4 linked regions of the Saccharomyces cerevisiae S288C genome follow. Changing the gene in region 2 together with the main gene of any one other region gives a genetic interaction. Each region holds a gene or a part of one and is shown on either strand. Other genes may lie near its edges. The genes, in order: ELP6, GIM3, VPS71 and CTF19.

What was found.
Region 1: mutations in GIM3 (region 2) and ELP6 together harm fitness more than expected from each alone (negative genetic interaction), as found in Saccharomyces cerevisiae (5 studies listed by BioGRID, with this or other methods).
Region 3: mutations in GIM3 (region 2) and VPS71 together harm fitness more than expected from each alone (negative genetic interaction), as found in Saccharomyces cerevisiae (8 studies listed by BioGRID, with this or other methods).
Region 4: mutations in GIM3 (region 2) and CTF19 together harm fitness more than expected from each alone (negative genetic interaction), as found in Saccharomyces cerevisiae (5 studies listed by BioGRID, with this or other methods).

The regions. Positions count from the first base shown.
Region 1 is NC_001145.3:896,724-901,581, forward strand, and holds ELP6 (Elongator subunit ELP6), read left to right. Parts: upstream 1-1,681; coding exon 1,682-2,503; downstream 2,504-4,858. Other genes in the region: PP1-complex regulatory subunit GLC8, read right to left, coding at 191-880; TGL3 (bifunctional triglyceride lipase/lysophosphatidylethanolamine acyltransferase), read right to left, coding at 2,656-4,584. UniProt on the Saccharomyces cerevisiae protein: Component of the elongator complex which is required for multiple tRNA modifications, including mcm5U (5-methoxycarbonylmethyl uridine), mcm5s2U (5-methoxycarbonylmethyl-2-thiouridine), and ncm5U (5-carbamoylmethyl uridine).
Region 2 is NC_001146.8:345,169-349,644, reverse strand, and holds GIM3 (tubulin-binding prefolding complex subunit GIM3), read left to right. Parts: upstream 1-3,586; coding exon 3,587-3,976; downstream 3,977-4,476. Other genes in the region: PGA2 (Pga2p), read left to right, coding at 1-278; RPC31 (DNA-directed RNA polymerase III subunit C31), read left to right, coding at 1,124-1,879; INN1 (Inn1p), read right to left, coding at 2,103-3,332; serine/threonine protein kinase YCK2, read left to right, coding at 4,369-4,476. UniProt on the Saccharomyces cerevisiae protein: Binds specifically to cytosolic chaperonin (c-CPN) and transfers target proteins to it. Binds to nascent polypeptide chain and promotes folding in an environment in which there are many competing pathways for nonnative proteins.
Region 3 is NC_001145.3:194,413-199,549, reverse strand, and holds VPS71 (Vps71p), read left to right. Parts: upstream 1-3,794; coding exon 3,795-4,637; downstream 4,638-5,137. Other genes in the region: YML040W (gag protein), read right to left, coding at 1,600-2,922; carnitine O-acetyltransferase CAT2, read right to left, coding at 4,750-5,137. UniProt on the Saccharomyces cerevisiae protein: Participates in the catalytic exchange of histone H2A for the H2A variant HZT1, an euchromatin-specific factor, leading to chromatin remodeling and changes in transcription of targeted genes. Indirectly involved in vacuolar protein sorting.
Region 4 is NC_001148.4:515,016-520,361, reverse strand, and holds CTF19 (Ctf19p), read right to left. Parts: upstream 2,712-5,346; coding exon 1,602-2,711; downstream 1-1,601. Other genes in the region: IRC15 (Irc15p), read left to right, coding at 129-1,628; VTC3 (vacuolar transporter chaperone), read left to right, coding at 3,344-5,346. UniProt on the Saccharomyces cerevisiae protein: Component of the kinetochore, a multiprotein complex that assembles on centromeric DNA and attaches chromosomes to spindle microtubules, mediating chromosome segregation and sister chromatid segregation during meiosis and mitosis.

The sequences.
Region 1 (4,858 bases), on a different chromosome or scaffold from region 2:
AGTAGTTGTGAAACAGAGTACTCTCACTTGCCGATCACAGCTCATCGATGGGAAATTTTTCATGTATAAAATAAAGCTTGTTAAAAAATCAGTTCGTTTCGCGTGATAACAAACAGTGCATATTTATGTACCAAGAATCCAAAAAATAAGATATATTTAGTATAGGTAAACGTTATGGAGGTGTCATGTTTCATGGTTCTTTTGTCGTACTATCATCTTCGTCTTCGTCTTCGTCCTTTAGCGCTTCACGGGACTTTTTGTTGAAAATTGCCCTTACGTCGTAATGCTTCTTTCTCATTTCTTCAAATTTCTTATGTCTAGCCTCCGGTGAGTCTTCATCATTCTCGTCGTTGGTCTCAAAATCCGGTTGTTTGTTCTCTTTGATTTCAAATTCCGGTTCGCCCAGGGACAAATCGTCGATGTCATCGTTTGCCACCTGGCATGGTTTTTTATCACTATTATCCTCATCTTCATCATCATCTACTCTGTAGTATTCCCCGTGAGGGTCCACAGCACCTTGGTAGGGGGTCTTGGGCTCGTCTATGTGAATATCTTGGAACTGCTTTTTTGTTATTTCATTTTCTGCTAAATTTCTTTGGTTCCATTGAACTCGCTCTTCTGGTGTCATCTTGGCCAACATGTCTTGCTCATGTTTCAGTGACAGTGTGTCCTTTGGAAGGAAGGTACTCGATGTTCCAATTATCTCCCCCTCCTCTTTTGTATTATCTAGTCCCGGTATATTCCTTTTATGTGATGTCAATTTGGCATTTTTCTGCGTATTTTCGTAAACTTGTCTTCTAAACTCTTCAAGCGTTTCTGGATCCTGTTGCGCCAGCTGCTCCGGCGATAAGGCTAGCGGGTTTTTAAGTATACCTCCCATTATTCTGCTGATGTGCGTTCTTGATGATACGAACTCGTTGTACTGATGAAGCTCTTGGACTTTAAGTTGTAGTGGTGTTCTCAAATTATCCTTTCGGTGGAAGTCATTTCTCCCTAAAAAAGCGTGAGGGCAAAACTTGAAACCGGGTAAGAATATGCGATAGTACCGTTTTGCCTCTAAAGACAGTGCTTCAGAGAAATATTAGCAAGGTGTCGAATCAAGTTATACTAGATAGGAGGATTTCATAATGAATAATGCTTTAAAATGGTTCTCACCTTTATTTTATCATTTTCTTCTTTTCTTCTGCTATTGATTTGGTAGTGTTCGGGTTAATTCATTTTTTTGTTCAATAACAAGAACCAAACATAAAAAAAAATACTTTAAGAATAAACAAGACTGATGAAGCATAGATCATATTATTAGAGCGCGTAAGGTATGTAGAGCACAGATTGGTCCTTCGAGTGTGATTATATAATTTTATATACGCTCCTTAATTTAAAAGCGGCTTAGATAGATTTTTTATACTTTGCTGTTGGAAAATTCCTGCTGAAGCAAAAGAATTTGCAATTCGTTCTTAGCCTTTAACCCCAATTTTAAGGCTGAAGCCGTGGCTTATATCATGGGCTTTGTTTATCCAACTTTTCACATCTATAGTACGCTATCTTTGCATCTCTTAGGCATGAATTGATAGGCGATGAGCAGAATGAAAAATGAAAAAAAAATAAAAGTACTAAATTGAGGCTAGTAGAAGTTAGGCAAAAACCGTCCAGAACCTCCACAAAAATAACTAAATACACATTTATGGGTAGTGTTCAACGACAAGATTTGGTCCTATTCAGCGACCAATCAGTGCTTCCTGCCCACTTTTTCCAAGACAGCAACTCTCATAACTTATTCTTCATCACCCATCAATCCTGTACTCAACCACTATGGATGATAAACGCACTAGTAGAAACGCACGTGTTAGGTTCCCCAAGTTCCCTTAATGAATCTTCTTCATCGATGCTACCTTCGTCAACTCGCTCCCATGCAGTCCTTGCGTCGTTTATCCACGAACAGAACTATTTTACAAATTCATTAAACAAGCTAAAGATCCCATCTAATAACTACAATGTTTTAGACTTCCTGTCCGACTTCATCGTTAATAATATCCATAATAAGCCAAGAGACAAAATACTAAGTGACGTACTCGCAAAGTTCTCCGCTGCTATACAAAATAACCCAACTGACACCATTGTTATCATCGAACAACCAGAATTACTGTTGTCGCTAGTAAGCGGCCTAACTTGTTCAGAATTAAACAATAAGTTCATCACACCTCTTTTGAGGCAATGCAAAGTGCTAATCATTGTTTCCAATTCGGACATATTTAATATAGATGAATACGATGCTTCTGTTCATTCCTCGAATCTGCAAAATTTCTACAAATCTTCCTTTATCAAATCAATGATTAATTTGAACTTGAATCCTCTGAAGACCGGTTTTGCAAAGGACGTAACCGGCTCATTGCACGTTTGCAGGGGCGGCGCACCCATTGCAACTTCAAACACAAGCCTACACGTCGTTGAAAATGAATACCTATATCTGAATGAGAAGGAGTCAACAAAACTATTTTATCGCTAAATAATGATAAGATTATATACGAGGCACATTGATTCTCGTATTATTGTTTTTTCTATGAACTGAATATATTTTTAAGTACAATATCAATGAAAAATATATGCAATCGAGCTCTATCAATAAAAAAAATAAGACAGAAAAAAGTGGAAACGATACTACCTACTCCGTCTTGCTCTTATTATGTCGTCTAATTTAAATTCGACTGCACATCTTGTCTTAATTAAAGCTAGTGCGGGCCATGTACTTCGTTCACCAGATTTTATCCAGTATGGAATGTTGTTTAGTTGACCTTCAATAATCCTTGTTAATGATAGACTTTTCATCCTTGGTACCACAGCAATCTCCGTAGCTGATCTGGGAGTCTTTTCATCAATTATTAGTCTTTTTATTAATGAGCACAACAGGCCTAAATTATCCAATACCTCCATCCTATGTCGAAATTCCATAGTGGCAATATTTTTTAATTTTCTTTCCAGATGATACTTAAATTTAAACGCCAGCGGTTCCATTTCAGTAAAGTTCAACTGCGGTATGCCCAATTCTGGGATTATGTACTCTGCTGAATCGTTGACTGCCGAACTTGGGGGCACAGGGCTCATTAAAGGCTCTGGCTCAAGATCCTCGACAGTTCCTGCCTTTATGGGTGATTGCGAAGAGGATCTCTGTGTTTTTCTTACTGTATTCGCGTTTATAGGAGGCATATTTGGATAATGCTTATAATAGTAATATTTTGACGTTTTTATTTCATGCTTCAAATCATTTACCACCAATGGTGCCAAGTATGGTCTCGCCAAAGAAACAATGAAGTTATTAACATTGAATAGTTCCGTTAACCTAGTATAGGGGCTCTCCGTTATGCTCGGATTGTTGGCATTTTCTGGGGTAAGAAATTTGACTTGTTTATTTTTATTGATGTTAAGAAAAGGCTCAATTTCATTTTCTAAATTTTTACATAATAGTGATGTATCCTCTGAAATTACACCAGAACCAAGTGAGCATTCAATGGCTGACTTGATTAATACGTTTGGGGTTGTCACATAATTTAGTAAATTAGGGCATGATTTATCAGTTGGATGAATAACAATATTGAAAACTTTTCCAGTAATTTGATAAACTTCTTCAAAAGTTTTTTCCTTAACAATATATTTCATAACAAACCGGATAAAAAGATAAACGTCTTGAGAATAACCGTGGTGTATTAGGTTCTGAATCAAAGTCCCCAGGTTTAGGTGCTGCTCTAAATTACCGTATCCACAGCTTTTTAATAAATCTACATCATTCTTGATGATATTCAAGAGGTTGTCATCGGTCAATAATTGCTTTAGTTGCTCATTGGACAAGCAACCGAATAAACTTGCAACGCATGCCCCCATAGAGCTACCACTTATAATATTAGGCATCAGGTCCTGTAACAATAAACCTCTAATCACCCCAAGGTGAAACAGCCCAAACAATGAACCACCTTGCAAGATTAATGCTGTTGTGCCCAGTGACAACTTACATCTTTGGAAAAAGGATGTTGGAGTTAAAGTTTGATTATTTAATATATCCAAGCCTTCTAGAATTCGGGTCAAATATTGTTCAATAAGTAGCTTTGTACCCATCAAAGATTTTGTGAACAACTTTTTATCTCCAATACCCGCAAAGTTCCTCAACATACAAGGGCCTGTAGTCGAAAACTTCTCCTTAACTACATCATACTTCTCCTCCCTTAACATATTTTCCAATATGCTATATTGTTCAATGACAGAATTGAAGTCGTACCTCCTCGAAAAGAAATTCCGCCGCCATAAATTTGCGCCTGTTATTTCATCCACTACGGACGCTTGCTGACACCACATTTGATACGTATCACACTCATCTAACTTCTTAATAGCGTTATAATAAATGACTCTTGAGTGTGGCCGCACATAGTTAATCAGCTTTTGAACCCAGAAGAAATAAATATCGGTGATGACATGTAGAATTTCCCACACAAAAGGAGGTATATGGTCCAATGTGGCATACACTACACGCAGTATCCAGTTTTTCAAAAGGGTCGGTATTACAGCAGACACCTTGTATTCCTGCGCCGTTTCCTTCATGCTTAACGGCAACTCAAAGATGTGATATATGAATAGATGATTCCCTTACTATTGTGTCATAGTACTTCTCTATGTAATCAGTACTAATTTCTATTAGCTGCTACCCAGAAAAAAAAAAACATAAGAAAAAAAGGGTTAGGGTTGAATTTTCAGACCTAGGATAAGTATCTCCGAAATTACTAAAAACCTAGTATTTATTAAAATGCCCTACTAAAAAAGTAAAAATGACCTATAAAGAACATACCCTATTATAGAGTGGCAAAATTAAAAATTC
Region 2 (4,476 bases):
GAAATATCGCATCCAGGGAATTGGCGAAGAAGCAGTTGGCTGCCCAAGTGGAAAAGGACAAACGAGACAAAGAGGAAAAGAGATCAAAAGACCTGATCGACAAGCCAGATGATGCTGCAACAGCAGAAACAACTTCTTTCGGTTGGGGTAAGAAAACTAGAAGAAGAGTTAAAAGACAACAGGAGTTGTTTGAAAACGCTTTGGAAGAGGCTAAGAGAAGAAACCAAGGGTTGGACCCAGATAGTGATGCTGATATTGAGGAACTACTGGAAGAATAGGCTCTCTGTGTATGTATGGGTTCCTCTTTGTCATTGTGACATTGTTTTGTTTTTAGTTTTTCTATAGTTTTCTGATAAAATAGTCTAACCATTACCGATGTTGCTACTTGCATCATTCTCAACGTCTAATCAACTTGCGTTTGCGTCTCAAATTGAGTTTGTAGGTTACGTGTCGCCTTAATAGTCAGCAAATGCCGACGTTTGTGAGACGGATAACGACTGCGATGATTCCCATTCCGCATGAATGATGCAATTCACAATTCAAACACGATATCAAACGACTAAGCCGTGAATTAACGGCTAGAATGCAAAAGAAAATGGGTAAGAATTGATTTATGTAGATACGGCAAGACGATACTTTCCTTAAACAGCCGAGAAACGAAAAGGTTTAAAGAGATGTACTGTGACGTAGAAGAGAAAGGATTACGCAGCAATGGCTTGTCCAAATTTCGTAGTCTAGCCAATTGAAAATATAAATTATTTTCAATACTAATGGGCGGCTTTCGAACAAATGTCACATTGCAGAGGTGATCGTTCAAAGTAATTAGCAGTCATGAACGAGATCTTCTTTTCTCTTATGAAGAAAAAGGCTGATGGTCGACAAGAAAAATCTCAATACAATGGCTACCATTCCACAAAGAAGTGCCTCGCTAGGTGTAACTCAATGAACTGAAATTGCTTTCGTCAGTGGTTTCAACTCTTGTGCGGCCGCATGAAAAATGAAGAGAAATTTGAAAAAATCTCAAAGAAGAAAATAGTTTCCTCATCGCAGCAACCTATAGAAAACAACACGACAGAAAGATATTGTAACTTGATAGTACCGAGCATATATACCCCGAACAAACATGAGTTCTTATAGGGGCGGCAGTAGAGGTGGCGGGAGCAACTATATGAGCAATCTACCCTTCGGATTAGGTTATGGAGATGTAGGCAAAAATCATATTACGGAATTTCCATCCATCCCATTGCCCATCAATGGTCCTATAACAAATAAGGAAAGATCTTTAGCAGTAAAGTACATCAATTTTGGAAAGACTGTTAAAGATGGCCCATTTTATACCGGATCAATGAGCTTGATAATAGATCAACAGGAAAACAGCAAGAGCGGTAAACGCAAACCCAACATAATCCTAGACGAAGACGATACTAATGATGGCATTGAAAGATATTCCGATAAATATTTGAAAAAAAGGAAAATAGGTATTTCTATTGATGATCATCCGTATAATTTGAACCTCTTTCCCAATGAATTGTACAATGTAATGGGGATCAACAAGAAAAAATTATTGGCAATCTCCAAGTTTAATAATGCCGATGATGTTTTTACTGGTACAGGTTTACAAGATGAAAACATCGGACTATCCATGCTGGCAAAGTTAAAGGAGTTGGCAGAAGATGTGGATGATGCGTCGACGGGTGATGGGGCAGCAAAAGGAAGTAAAACAGGCGAAGGAGAAGATGATGATTTGGCGGATGATGATTTCGAAGAAGATGAAGACGAAGAAGATGATGATGATTATAATGCTGAAAAGTATTTCAACAATGGTGACGATGATGATTACGGTGATGAAGAGGATCCAAATGAAGAGGCCGCCTTTTAGTTGAAAATTTATACCGCTTTACCATATTTTTGGATATTCTTCAAAGCAGAATTTGTACAATTAGCATTTTTCTTTATGGTTTAGATCGGCGGTGAGGGCGCAACAGATTTATGTATACATATTGAAATAATAAAATTTAAAAAAGAAAAAATCTTGGTAAACATTAAAAATCTTAATTCTATTTAAATATTAGTATTACAATAACAGCATGTTTCTCTTGTCATTAGCTGAGCCTTGGAGGTGGTCTTTTTCTTGTAGGAGACATCGAATTCTTCCTCGAATTAAAATTGGAATTCGAAGTAGTCGGTAGAGGTGGTAGTTTTGGAGAATTCAGGCCTGATGGATGAGGATGTGAGTTAGGCGAAGAGGAATCTAGGCGTGAGGGTCTATCTCTTCTTACTAACGGCGTATTGCGCGAACTTGAATAATTGGACATATCATCTCTGGTCGGTATAGGAGGTAAGGGCGGTTGGTTATAGTTGTGGGAGACTCTATGGCTGGAAGAATAAAATGCGTCATTTTCGTCGTCATCGTCATCATCTTCGTCGTAAGACAACGAAGTTACACCAATAGCCTTTTGAAGTGCCTCAATATCTACCTTGTTAGATTCATTTTGGCAGTTGTTTGTTGAACTATCAGGATTCTTAAATATATTTATCTTCTCCTTTAATTTCCTTAAATTGGCAAAATGGAATTTTGTATTCGAAGTGTTTGATATAGCAGTATCATTAGTTTCTAATGTAGACGTTGTACCCATGGATGCTGAAAAAGTTGGAGGTAAAATTATTGGGTCATTACTATTTGCCAATACCGCTGTATCTGATTTAGATGACATGGAGAAAACATTGCCATTTCTGTAGGGCTGTCCCTCATCCTTATCCTCGTGACTTGTGCTAACACACTGGGGAGTAATCTGTCTCATCGTAGAACCATGAACATAGTCATACTCTGATTCTGTTGGCAATGGTGGTATCGGCCTCATAGCCATAGATGAATCCAACCTGTCCATTTCTTTGTTAAGATCGTCCCTGTTTAAACGAGGTACTTTGGGAGTGAAAGTCAACTCAATGAATATAGTGCCAGCAAATTCATCCCCACTTCTTTTCAGTTCGTACCAGGTACAATAACCCTCCTTCGGGTCTGCTCTAATAGCATTTAAAAGGTCTATTTCACATCTTCCAATTGGCAGCGGAGATTTTTTCCTTCTATCGCAGTAAACTTCGACGTACATTAAAGGCTTTATCTCTGGAGTAATATCAAATTTTTCTAAATAATGGAAAACAGGGTTTTGACCTGCTCGATGTAGAGTGTTGCTGGCTCTTGTCATATGAGCTATTCGCAACCTAAGCATTACATTTTGCTTGTCCAGTTTATTCAAATTAGGCAAGTCTCTAGCTTTGCTCACATATACGGAGAGGATTCCTTGGTTTCCATTCCATACTTCTTCGGACATTCGACAGTGACTCAACGAGTTAACCCAATTCCAGTTGTGAAACCTAAGGTCTCCGAATTCTCTCGTACTATTAACATACCTTTCTATGTTTTTATCTAAATCATATGAGGAACGCTAGGCCGTCATTCATGATCAGCAGAGGCGGCTTTTCATACAATTTTACAGGAAGCTAAGTACTTAGAGGACTTATGCTCTGTTTGGTCCTGCGGAAACTACCAGAATACACAACGCCAAGAAACTAACAGAGGACCATTATGGAACTGTTACCACAGGGACAAAGGAACAACACTCAGGTAACGTTCGAAGATCAGCAAAAGATCAACGAGTTTTCGAAGTTGATTATGCGTAAGGACGCCATTGCGCAGGAATTGAGTTTACAGAGGGAGGAGAAGGAGTACCTCGATGATGTGTCTCTAGAAATTGAATTGATTGACGAAGATGAGCCCGTGCAATACAAGGTGGGCGACCTCTTTATCTTCATGAAACAGAGCAAAGTTACCGCACAGCTCGAAAAAGACGCAGAACGTCTCGACAACAAAATAGAGACTTTAGAGGACAAGCAAAGAGACATTGATTCCCGTCTTGATGCTCTGAAGGCGATCCTGTATGCTAAATTTGGTGATAATATCAACCTTGAACGTTAGAACACTCATTAAAGTGTGGGCTGTGGGTGTCTCCACAAAATGAGTAATGAAAAATTTTTAATTTTTTCAGGAGGGAAATTAAAGAAAAGTAAAGAACATGATAATAAAAAGCAAGTTTAAGTTATTGTGTATGAGATAGAGTTTTTTTTGTATACCTTTGTAATCCGCATATATTCCTAAGTACCTTTTTTTTCAGACAGAAAAAAAGAGTTTCTTTACGGAAATTACTTCTTTCGTTTGATATTGTTTTTCTCTTTCGAGATTTAAGAACGTGGTTGTGTTTCGTGTTTCTGTGCAGATCATATTAGAAAGTTTTTTTCTCCATTTTGATAGACAAAACTTGTTGTTTCTACTGAACACAGCATATAAGCCAAGAAAATAGTTTTCCAAAAATGTCTCAAGTGCAAAGTCCTTTGACAGCAACGAACTCTGGTTTAGCTGTCAATAATAACACAATGAACTCACAAATGCCTAACCGTAGCAATGTTAGATTGGTCAAT
Region 3 (5,137 bases), on a different chromosome or scaffold from region 2:
GAATCTTCAGTATGAGTTGACGGAGGTGTGGAATCGGTTGGACTCACAGCTTTTGAAAGGACATTTCTCGGTTGCTCAGGATGTAGTTCGATGTCAGATTGGAAGTCATGGTCAGATTCTATGTTAAGATCATCGGATTGTTGGATCTCATTTGACGCAATGAACGATTGATATGAAGCAGTTAAACGGTTTAAGTCTTCATCGAAAGTGAGTGCGTCGTAATTGAATTGATCTAATCTGGATTCCTTGCCCTGAAGAATAACATAGTTAGTTGTATCTACTGTCTTCTTTAAGGATGGAAGATAGATGATATATCCATAAGAGTTTCGAGACGGATGTAGAGCGTAGCCTGGGATGCCACGAGGATGTATTTTGGAGTTAGGGTTGTGATCATTGACGATAACAGGTTGACCGAAAGGTAACAAAGTACTGATATCAAGTCCTGCCAAGCCAGCATGTTGTCTTGCAGATTTTTTGCTTTTAGGTGAAGCTAGTGAATTTCTCACAATAGTAGAAAATTCGATTGCAGAGAACCATAAATGGTTCGGTAAACCACTACATTGCAGTTGAGTACGGCAGTCATCTAATAAGGTACGGTTGAGCCGTTCAGCGACTCCATGTGCTCGGGAATCCGCTGTGGTTGTATAGCATGGAGTTATACCATTTTTTTCAAGGAATTTATGGAGAGTTCTGTTAGTATACTCAGAACCACGGTCCATTTGTATAACCAAGACACTGGCCTGAAACTGGTTCTTAATAAAAGCTAGTATCGTAGTAAAAACATCGAGGATAGAGTCCTCGCGACGGTCGTGTAATGGATAAACCCAACGGAATTTTGTTGTCTCATCAGTAAATGAGATGAAATAGGATGGTGCACTTTTTGGTAGGTTGTGAACTGGACCAAATATGTCAGTATGTAGGTATTGAAAGGGTTCGTATGAATTTTGGTATTTTAGTCGTGAACCTTTGATATGTCTGTGTTTGGTGCTTTTGCCGATTAAACAATCAGGACATTGATAGTCAATAGCACTAGACCTGTCGACATCTGATTCGTTAAAATACGTGATGGTGTTATTTTTAAGTGAGTATCGAATTGTCTGTGCATTGGCATGTGCAAGCATTCGATGAATGAAAGGATAAGGATATTTGCGTGTACTTTCACTTGTATGGACATTATTGATGGTGGGTACGGAGATATTTGATGGAAGCAAGTACTTTTTAGATACCCAGTAAAAGTCTCCATATTTTACGATAGGTGCAAGTACAGTGCCGTCAGATCGTTCTAAGACGTTTTTGGTAAAGCATGCTGTGATATCTACTGCAGCCAATTCATTCAAACTGAGTAAGTCATAGGCTATGTTAGGAGTGTGCAATACCTTTATTGATGTTTTGGTGTTGTCCTGGAAGTGAAATTGTAGGTCACCAATAGCGTTAATTGGTATATTTCTTTTTTGAGCATCAACTACGTTTATGTCAGGATTAGATGATGCTGAGTGTATGTGATGAGCAGATCTTATAAGGGTTCGTGATGCTCCTGAATCGAGAAGGAGGTGTCCAGGGAGTTCATCATCAGAATGATTAGTGTGATTTACCGTAGATTCAGTAAGTTCCTGGCCTAAGGTGAAGGTCGTGCTTATTGTTCAATTGAATCGGTTCAGTAGTTGATTTACTGATGGAATCGTTGTCCGTGCTGGGAGAGTTATTAGATGTGGATACATTGTGAGCCCTGGCTGTTTTCGATTTCGAATTATTTGTTTTTTGAGGATTCCGAGCTATAACTTTGGGTTTGGTTGTATTCGTATAGCTGCGAGAATCATTCTTCTCATCACTCAGATTTCTCCTGTAATTAGGTTTGCTGTTTCTCGATCCCTGTTGTTCTTCATAAATAGCATGGATATCTAAGAACAGTTCAGCGACTGTCATATTTAGATGTCGATGACGTGTGTAGCGTAAAAATTTATATTCGCCAGATAGACCTCTCATAATTAATTGGCATGCGACCTTGTTATTGATATGAATGCCATTATTGTTCAGTCTGTCGATAATGTTTGTGACTTTTGTTTCAAATGCATCTGCAGGTGTACTGCCATTATATTGCAAATTTGCCAGGGTCACAATGTCGTTTGCCTCTTGGGTATCAGATTGCATTTTTTCAATACTTTTGGAAAGAATTTTCATGATATCCGTATAATCAACGGATAGGATGTCTTTGACCCAGGTAGGTAGGAATTGAGAGGGAGCAAATATTTGAAAAGTGTTATACAAGAAGGTGAGTTCATCATCAGTGATCTGACGTACGGGTTTTCCGTTTACTGTCGGAATAATACCACCGAGATTCGAGTTTTGTAAAAATTTGATGTATGTTTTAACCCAATTTGGAAAGTCATTAGGTGAGGTTAACATTGGTGGTGGTCTGACATATTTTTTAGTGGATGTCATATCAGAGTCCGCTGAGGATGAATCAGTAAATGTATTACCTGACTCAGGTGATGGAGTGCTCAGAGGCGTTCCAACTGATGATGGATACTGCGGAAACTGTGATTGTGGCCCAGGTGGAAAGTACATAGGCGACATTTGATAAGGTGTATACGGAATCATAGATGGGTGTCCGTAAAATGACCAACCAGATGGATTGGCTTGGTTTTGGGTCATCATGCACTGCTGTGGGTACGGCCCATTCTGTGGAGGTGGTACTGAAGCAGGTTGAGGAGAGGCATGATGGGGGTTCTCTGGAACAGCTGATGAAGCAGGTGTTGTTGTCTGTTGAGAGTTAGCCTTAGTGGAAGCCTTCTCACATTCTTCTGTTTTGGAAGCTGAAACGTCTAACGGATCTTGATTTGTGTGGACTTCCTTAGAAGTAACCGAAGCACAGGCGCTACCATGAGAAATATGTGAATGTTGAGATAATTGTTGGGATTCCATTGTTGATAAAGGCTATAATATTAGGTATACAGAATATACTAGAAGTTCTCCTCGAGGATATAGGAATCCTCAAAATGGAATCTATATTTCTACATACTAATATTACGATTATTCCTCATTCCGTTTTATATGTTTATATTCATTGATCCTATTACATTATCAATCCTTGCGTTTCAGCTTCCACTAATTTAGATGACTATTTCTCATCATTTGCGTCATCTTCTAACACCGTATATGATAATATACTAGTAATGTAAATACTAGTTAGTAGATGATAGTTGATTTCTATTCCAACAACTAGTAACACGAATACTACTAAACAAATGATATTTTAGAGTTCCATTTCAACATTATGCACTCAATATTCATTATTGTTGTTAAGGGCTTAATATTGTAGTTGTCAGAAAACTTTTACTATTCGGTGATTCCTTAGTGGCTAAGATTCACAAGTTCACAAGGGCGTGTGGTCTAGTGGTATGATTCTCGCTTTGGGCGACTTCCTGATTAAACAGGAAGACAAAGCATGCGAGAGGCCCTGGGTTCAATTCCCAGCTCGCCCCTTTTTTTGATATTTTTTTTGGAGTATTACAAAAACGACCATTCATTAAGGAAGTGAAGTCGGTGGAATAGCTAGAGAGCTTATATTTATTTAGTCGTTGCTTTATGTAACGAAGCAATCAATAAAATATTTGTGTTCTGTAGAAATAACTTTGATCCGGGTAATAGATAATTAATAACTACTTTTTTTATAATGAACATGATGATCTTTGTGAGTATTAACAAAAGTCGAAGCGGCCCTTTCAATCTATAGTAACGTCGATATCATTGATAGATCGAAGAAAAAGAACGGATCGCTTACTCATAACAGCGAAATGAAGGCGCTAGTTGAAGAGATTGATAAGAAAACTTACAATCCTGACATATATTTCACGTCATTGGATCCTCAAGCACGTCGATATACTTCAAAGAAGATTAATAAGCAAGGCACAATATCCACCTCTAGGCCCGTAAAGCGCATAAACTACTCACTGGCAGATTTAGAGGCCAGGTTATATACTTCGAGATCTGAGGGAGATGGCAATAGTATAAGCAGACAGGATGACCGAAATAGTAAGAATTCCCATTCATTTGAAGAAAGGTACACACAACAAGAGATTCTCCAGTCGGACAGGAGGTTTATGGAACTTAACACAGAAAATTTCTCGGATTTACCAAATGTACCGACTTTATTAAGTGATCTCACAGGCGTACCACGAGATAGAATTGAATCAACAACCAAACCGATCTCACAGACCTCGGATGGTCTCTCTGCATTAATGGGTGGTTCTTCTTTTGTAAAAGAGCATTCCAAGTATGGTCATGGTTGGGTGCTTAAACCAGAAACCTTACGGGAAATACAATTATCGTATAAATCTACAAAACTACCTAAACCAAAGAGGAAGAATACCAATCGTATTGTGGCGTTAAAGAAGGTTTTAAGTTCAAAAAGAAATTTACATTCGTTTTTAGATTCTGCGCTGCTAAACTTGATGGATAAGAATGTCATTTACCACAATGTTTACAATAAACGATACTTCAAAGTGTTACCCCTAATTACGACATGCTCTATTTGCGGTGGCTACGATAGTATTTCAAGTTGCGTTAATTGTGGAAATAAGATTTGTTCTGTAAGTTGTTTTAAATTGCATAATGAAACTAGGTGCAGAAATAGATAGTAATGATCAGTATGTATTCGTAAGCCCTTTTTTCTCCCCTATTTATACGTATGTAAGTGTAGATACTTAACAAAAATATTCACAAATTAATTGAAGAGGAAAGGTGAAAAATTCATAACTTTGCTTTTCGTTTATTCTCATTTTCCAAGGCGTCAAAAATTTCATCAGCAGCTTGAGATAAATAATAGTGTAATCTGTTAACACTGGCTCCACTCTTGGCTGGTTTGTTGACAATATTGATATGCAGCCACTCGTTATTCAACATGTATGCCAGTCCAAACCCGTTGTCATTTACTTGAGACCAACCATAACCGTCAAAATATTCCGAAGATAGTTGAGATGTGGAGATCAACCAAGTTGAAGAATAATTAAATAAGGGATCTTTGAAAAGGGGCGGAATTTGGTCATCATTAGATTTTAGCATATTCTTTAGACCGAAGAAATGACGATCGACACCATTACCATTTGCAGCATTTTTCAGGTACGTAGAATGCTCTTTT
Region 4 (5,346 bases), on a different chromosome or scaffold from region 2:
CACTCAGGCAGGGGGTACACCCAGACCTGCAGGCATGCATCTGCTGTTTCGGCGGCTATTTAACATGCGCACGATTTTACGAGAGGAGAAGAGAAGTATGATATAATTAACGGTGAGCATTTTTGGTAATGGGAGGTGAAGACGAAATATTAAGCACGATGGAGGATTTTGCGGCAGTTTACGATGTCCTGGTAATTGGTTGCGGGCCTGGTGGCTTTACTGCAGCGATGCAGGCTTCGCAAGCAGGCCTGCTCACAGCATGTGTTGACCAGCGTGCCTCGCTGGGGGGCGCCTACCTTGTAGACGGGGCAGTCCCGTCCAAGACCTTGTTATATGAGTCTTATCTTTATCGGCTGCTACAACAGCAAGAACTTATCGAGCAACGTGGCACGCGGCTGTTTCCTGCAAAATTCGATATGCAGGCGGCCCAGAGTGCACTCAAACATAATATAGAAGAGTTGGGCAATGTGTATAAACGTGAGCTATCTAAAAATAATGTTACTGTGTATAAAGGCACGGCTGCTTTCAAAGATCCTCACCACGTTGAGATTGCGCAGCGCGGCATGAAACCGTTCATCGTAGAGGCGAAATATATTGTTGTGGCGACCGGATCTGCGGTTATTCAGTGTCCTGGTGTTGCAATAGATAATGACAAGATAATTTCATCTGATAAGGCATTGTCACTGGATTATATACCTTCACGTTTTACTATCATGGGAGGAGGTACAATTGGACTAGAAATCGCATGCATATTCAATAATTTGGGCTCTCGGGTTACTATCGTTGAATCTCAAAGCGAGATCTGTCAAAATATGGACAATGAGTTGGCTTCTGCCACGAAGACCCTCTTGCAGTGTCAGGGTATAGCTTTTCTTTTAGACACTAGAGTGCAGCTCGCGGAAGCCGATGCTGCCGGTCAGCTGAACATCACCTTGCTTAACAAGGTGTCAAAGAAAACATATGTACATCATTGCGACGTCTTGATGGTTTCTATTGGTAGACGTCCCCTGCTAAAAGGTTTAGATATTTCCAGCATTGGTCTAGACGAACGGGATTTTGTAGAAAATGTTGACGTACAAACCCAAAGTCTGCTAAAGTACCCTCATATTAAACCCATAGGAGACGTTACATTGGGCCCCATGCTGGCGCTGAAAGCGGAAGAACAAGCTATAAGGGCCATTCAATCAATAGGCTGTACAGGCTCCGACGGAACCTCGAATTGTGGCTTCCCACCAAATGTGCTGTACTGTCAGCCTCAGATTGGCTGGGTCGGATACACTGAGGAGGGGTTGGCAAAGGCTCGCATCCCATATCAAAAAGGCAGGGTTTTGTTCTCACAGAACGTTAGATATAACACGTTATTACCACGGGAAGAGAATACTACAGTTTCTCCTTTCATTAAAGTTCTGATAGATTCTCGTGACATGAAAATACTAGGCGTTCATATGATAAACGACGATGCAAATGAATTGCTGTCGCAAGCATCGATGGCGGTGTCGCTTGGCCTTACCGCCCATGATGTCTGTAAAGTACCGTTCCCTCATCCGAGCTTATCGGAATCGTTTAAGCAAGCCGTCCAGTTGGCAATGGCAAATGGAACATCACCTGGCGTACATGTCCGGGAATAGGCAAACGTTGCAGATCTCCTTTAACCCGGTTTTCACACCATATTCCTTGATAAGTCCGTAGCATATCTCGTCCAAATCTATCTGGTTAAATCTTTCTCCCCCCTTCCATAGCGCTATTGAAATTTTACTCATGGGCAGAAAACAGTTACGAGGTTTGCCTCTCTCACCGGGCATTGTAATGATGAAATTTATCTGCAATTTTATCGTCGTGAGTCTTCCTTCTCTAATAACTCTTTCCACAATTAATGAGTCACTATTATTCATTAGATAACACCTGGTTTTCCTTTTCAATAAATTAATCAAATTTTGGAAAATTCCAGTTTTTTTGGACTTGATCTTATCAAACTCATAAAGGCTTAATAGACACTTCTGGAAGTTACGTGTTGCCAGTAATTGCTTGGCCTTCAGTCTAACGTTTGTGGAAATTCGCAAGATTTCCCACTTCAGCAGTGTGGAATCTTCAAATTTATAGAACATTTTGAACTGAATTTCAAAAGGATTCATCGTGTTTCTGCAGAATTTATAATTGACCACCAAAACTTCAATCCCATCGTTATGTACTCTGTCTCTTGATTGCACAGAAACTTGAAGATGCGGGTATGTGTGGTCTCTCAAATAACTTAGCCGTAGATTCATATTTAACAAAGGTAACGTGTCGTATTTTGTTACTAGTTCCTTCTGCAAGTTAGTTAGCCCATTGATCCTCTCGACCCGCTTGCGGTCACTTATCGCCGAATTAGGATTAGAGGATGAGATCGAGATTAGATTAAGAAAATCCTGTGTGATATCGTTTTGGAGGATATCACCATTTTTAGTCTTACTGTTATTTTCCTTCATCAAGATATTTTGGTACGTCTGGATCTCTTGTAAAAGAGTATTTCTCCTTGTCAACAGCGCATCCTTCTCCTCCTGTAGCTTCAGTGCGCGTACCTGATCATCATCTAATAGCGATAGTTGTTGCTTCTCGTCCCCATCAATGTTTACATCTGCTTCACCAGCATGATGTGTACCCACAGCGTCTTCCAGACTTAAATGCGAATTCGATGTGTCGTGCGAATTCGTCGTATCAGACGTAAAATCCATATTTGCGTTCTTTGCCGACCTAGTATCAACAAGATCACACTAGCTCCAAGGTATATAGCTGTTTATATAAGTCTAAATTACGCGTTTCTGATTTTTCGGCGGACTCCAACTATTAGATAGTCACCATTACCGGTTACATTACCGGCCACATAGTAGAACGCCAGAGTATATATGCCGTGACCTTCACGGTTTGGATGTTAATGAGTAACTTGCACAGCTATTGGTATTTGGACTTCTTGGCACATTTTTCCCTGTACAGCTTTTCTTTTTTTCAATGTGCGAGGGCCCACGTGGCTTAATACAACACAGTGCAGTCGCAAGCACGTGCATGCGATTTTGAAAGCACAAGGCAGAAACGTGGAAACATACACACACGCACACACCCAACTTTCGAGTGGGTTTCATCCAGGAAGAACTTTTAAATAGAGGCCAGAGAGCGGCTTACATCAGACATCTTTTCTCGAACTTACTTCATCTTCTCAATATCGAGAGGGCCCATTGGCGGGTAATAATACGCATAAGAGTGATCTAATCCAAGTAGTACCTCCTTAGCGCTTTTTTTATTATCACTATAGGTCATTTGGCTATTAGAGCGAACAGCAGAATTTGTCCTTGGTTTTCAGAGTTTGAAAATGCTATTTGGTATTAAACTGGCTAACGACGTATATCCTCCCTGGAAGGATTCATATATCGACTATGAAAGGTTGAAGAAATTACTAAAGGAAAGCGTCATACATGATGGCCGTAGTTCCGTGGATAGTTGGTCCGAAAGGAATGAATCTGATTTTGTGGAGGCCTTGGATAAAGAACTAGAAAAGGTTTACACATTTCAAATTTCCAAATATAATGCTGTCTTGCGAAAATTAGATGATTTAGAGGAAAACACTAAATCAGCTGAAAAAATCCAAAAAATAAATTCTGAGCAGTTCAAAAACACCTTAGAAGAATGTCTAGATGAGGCTCAAAGATTGGATAACTTTGACAGGTTAAATTTTACTGGGTTTATCAAGATTGTGAAGAAACACGATAAATTACATCCAAACTATCCTTCTGTAAAGTCTCTTTTACAAGTCAGATTGAAAGAACTTCCTTTCAACAATTCAGAAGAGTATTCTCCCTTGTTGTATAGGATCTCATATCTGTACGAGTTCTTGAGATCAAATTATGATCATCCAAATACGGTGTCTAAATCATTAGCAAGTACTTCTAAATTATCACATTTTTCTAACCTTGAAGACGCAAGTTTTAAAAGCTACAAGTTTTGGGTTCATGATGATAATATAATGGAGGTTAAGGCTAGAATCTTAAGGCATCTACCTGCTTTGGTTTATGCGTCGGTTCCAAATGAAAATGACGATTTCGTCGATAATCTAGAATCAGATGTCCGCGTACAACCTGAAGCGCGCTTGAATATTGGTTCAAAGAGTAACAGCCTTTCTAGTGATGGTAATAGCAACCAAGATGTTGAAATTGGAAAATCAAAGAGCGTTATTTTCCCACAGTCATATGATCCAACAATCACTACATTATATTTCGACAACGATTTTTTTGATTTGTACAATAACAGATTGTTGAAAATCAGCGGTGCACCTACGCTGAGATTAAGATGGATCGGTAAACTGCTAGACAAACCTGACATATTTTTGGAAAAGAGAACTTTTACAGAAAATACCGAAACTGGTAATTCAAGTTTTGAAGAAATCAGATTGCAAATGAAAGCCAAATTCATCAACAATTTTATTTTTAAAAATGATCCCAGTTACAAAAACTATTTAATTAATCAACTAAGAGAAAGGGGTACTCAAAAGGAGGAACTGGAAAAACTTTCTAGAGACTTTGATAACATCCAAAACTTTATTGTTGAGGAGAAGTTGCAGCCAGTTTTGAGAGCTACCTATAATAGAACTGCTTTCCAAATTCCTGGAGATCAAAGTATTAGAGTCACTATCGATTCCAATATCATGTACATTAGAGAGGATTCTTTGGACAAAAATAGGCCCATTAGGAACCCTGAGAATTGGCACCGTGACGATATTGATTCCAATATTCCCAACCCATTGAGGTTTTTAAGAGCAGGAGAATATTCGAAGTTCCCCTATTCTGTAATGGAGATTAAGGTTATAAACCAAGATAATTCTCAAATGCCTAATTATGAGTGGATTAAAGATTTAACTAATTCACATTTAGTTAACGAAGTTCCAAAATTTTCTTTGTACTTGCAAGGTGTGGCTTCACTGTTTGGTGAAGACGATAAATATGTCAACATTTTGCCATTCTGGTTGCCCGATTTAGAAACCGACATCAGAAAGAACCCTCAGGAGGCTTACGAAGAAGAGAAGAAAACTTTACAAAAACAAAAGAGCATTCATGATAAACTTGATAATATGAGAAGGTTATCCAAAATCTCTGTACCAGATGGAAAGACCACTGAAAGACAAGGGCAAAAAGATCAGAATACTCGCCACGTTATTGCAGATTTAGAAGATCACGAATCATCAGATGAAGAAGGTACTGCATTGCCCAAGAAATCTGCAGTCAAAAAAGGGAAGAAATTCAAAACGAATGCAGCTTTCTTGAAAATTCTTGCTGGAAAAAATATTTCAGAAAATGGAAATGATCCATACTCCGACGATAC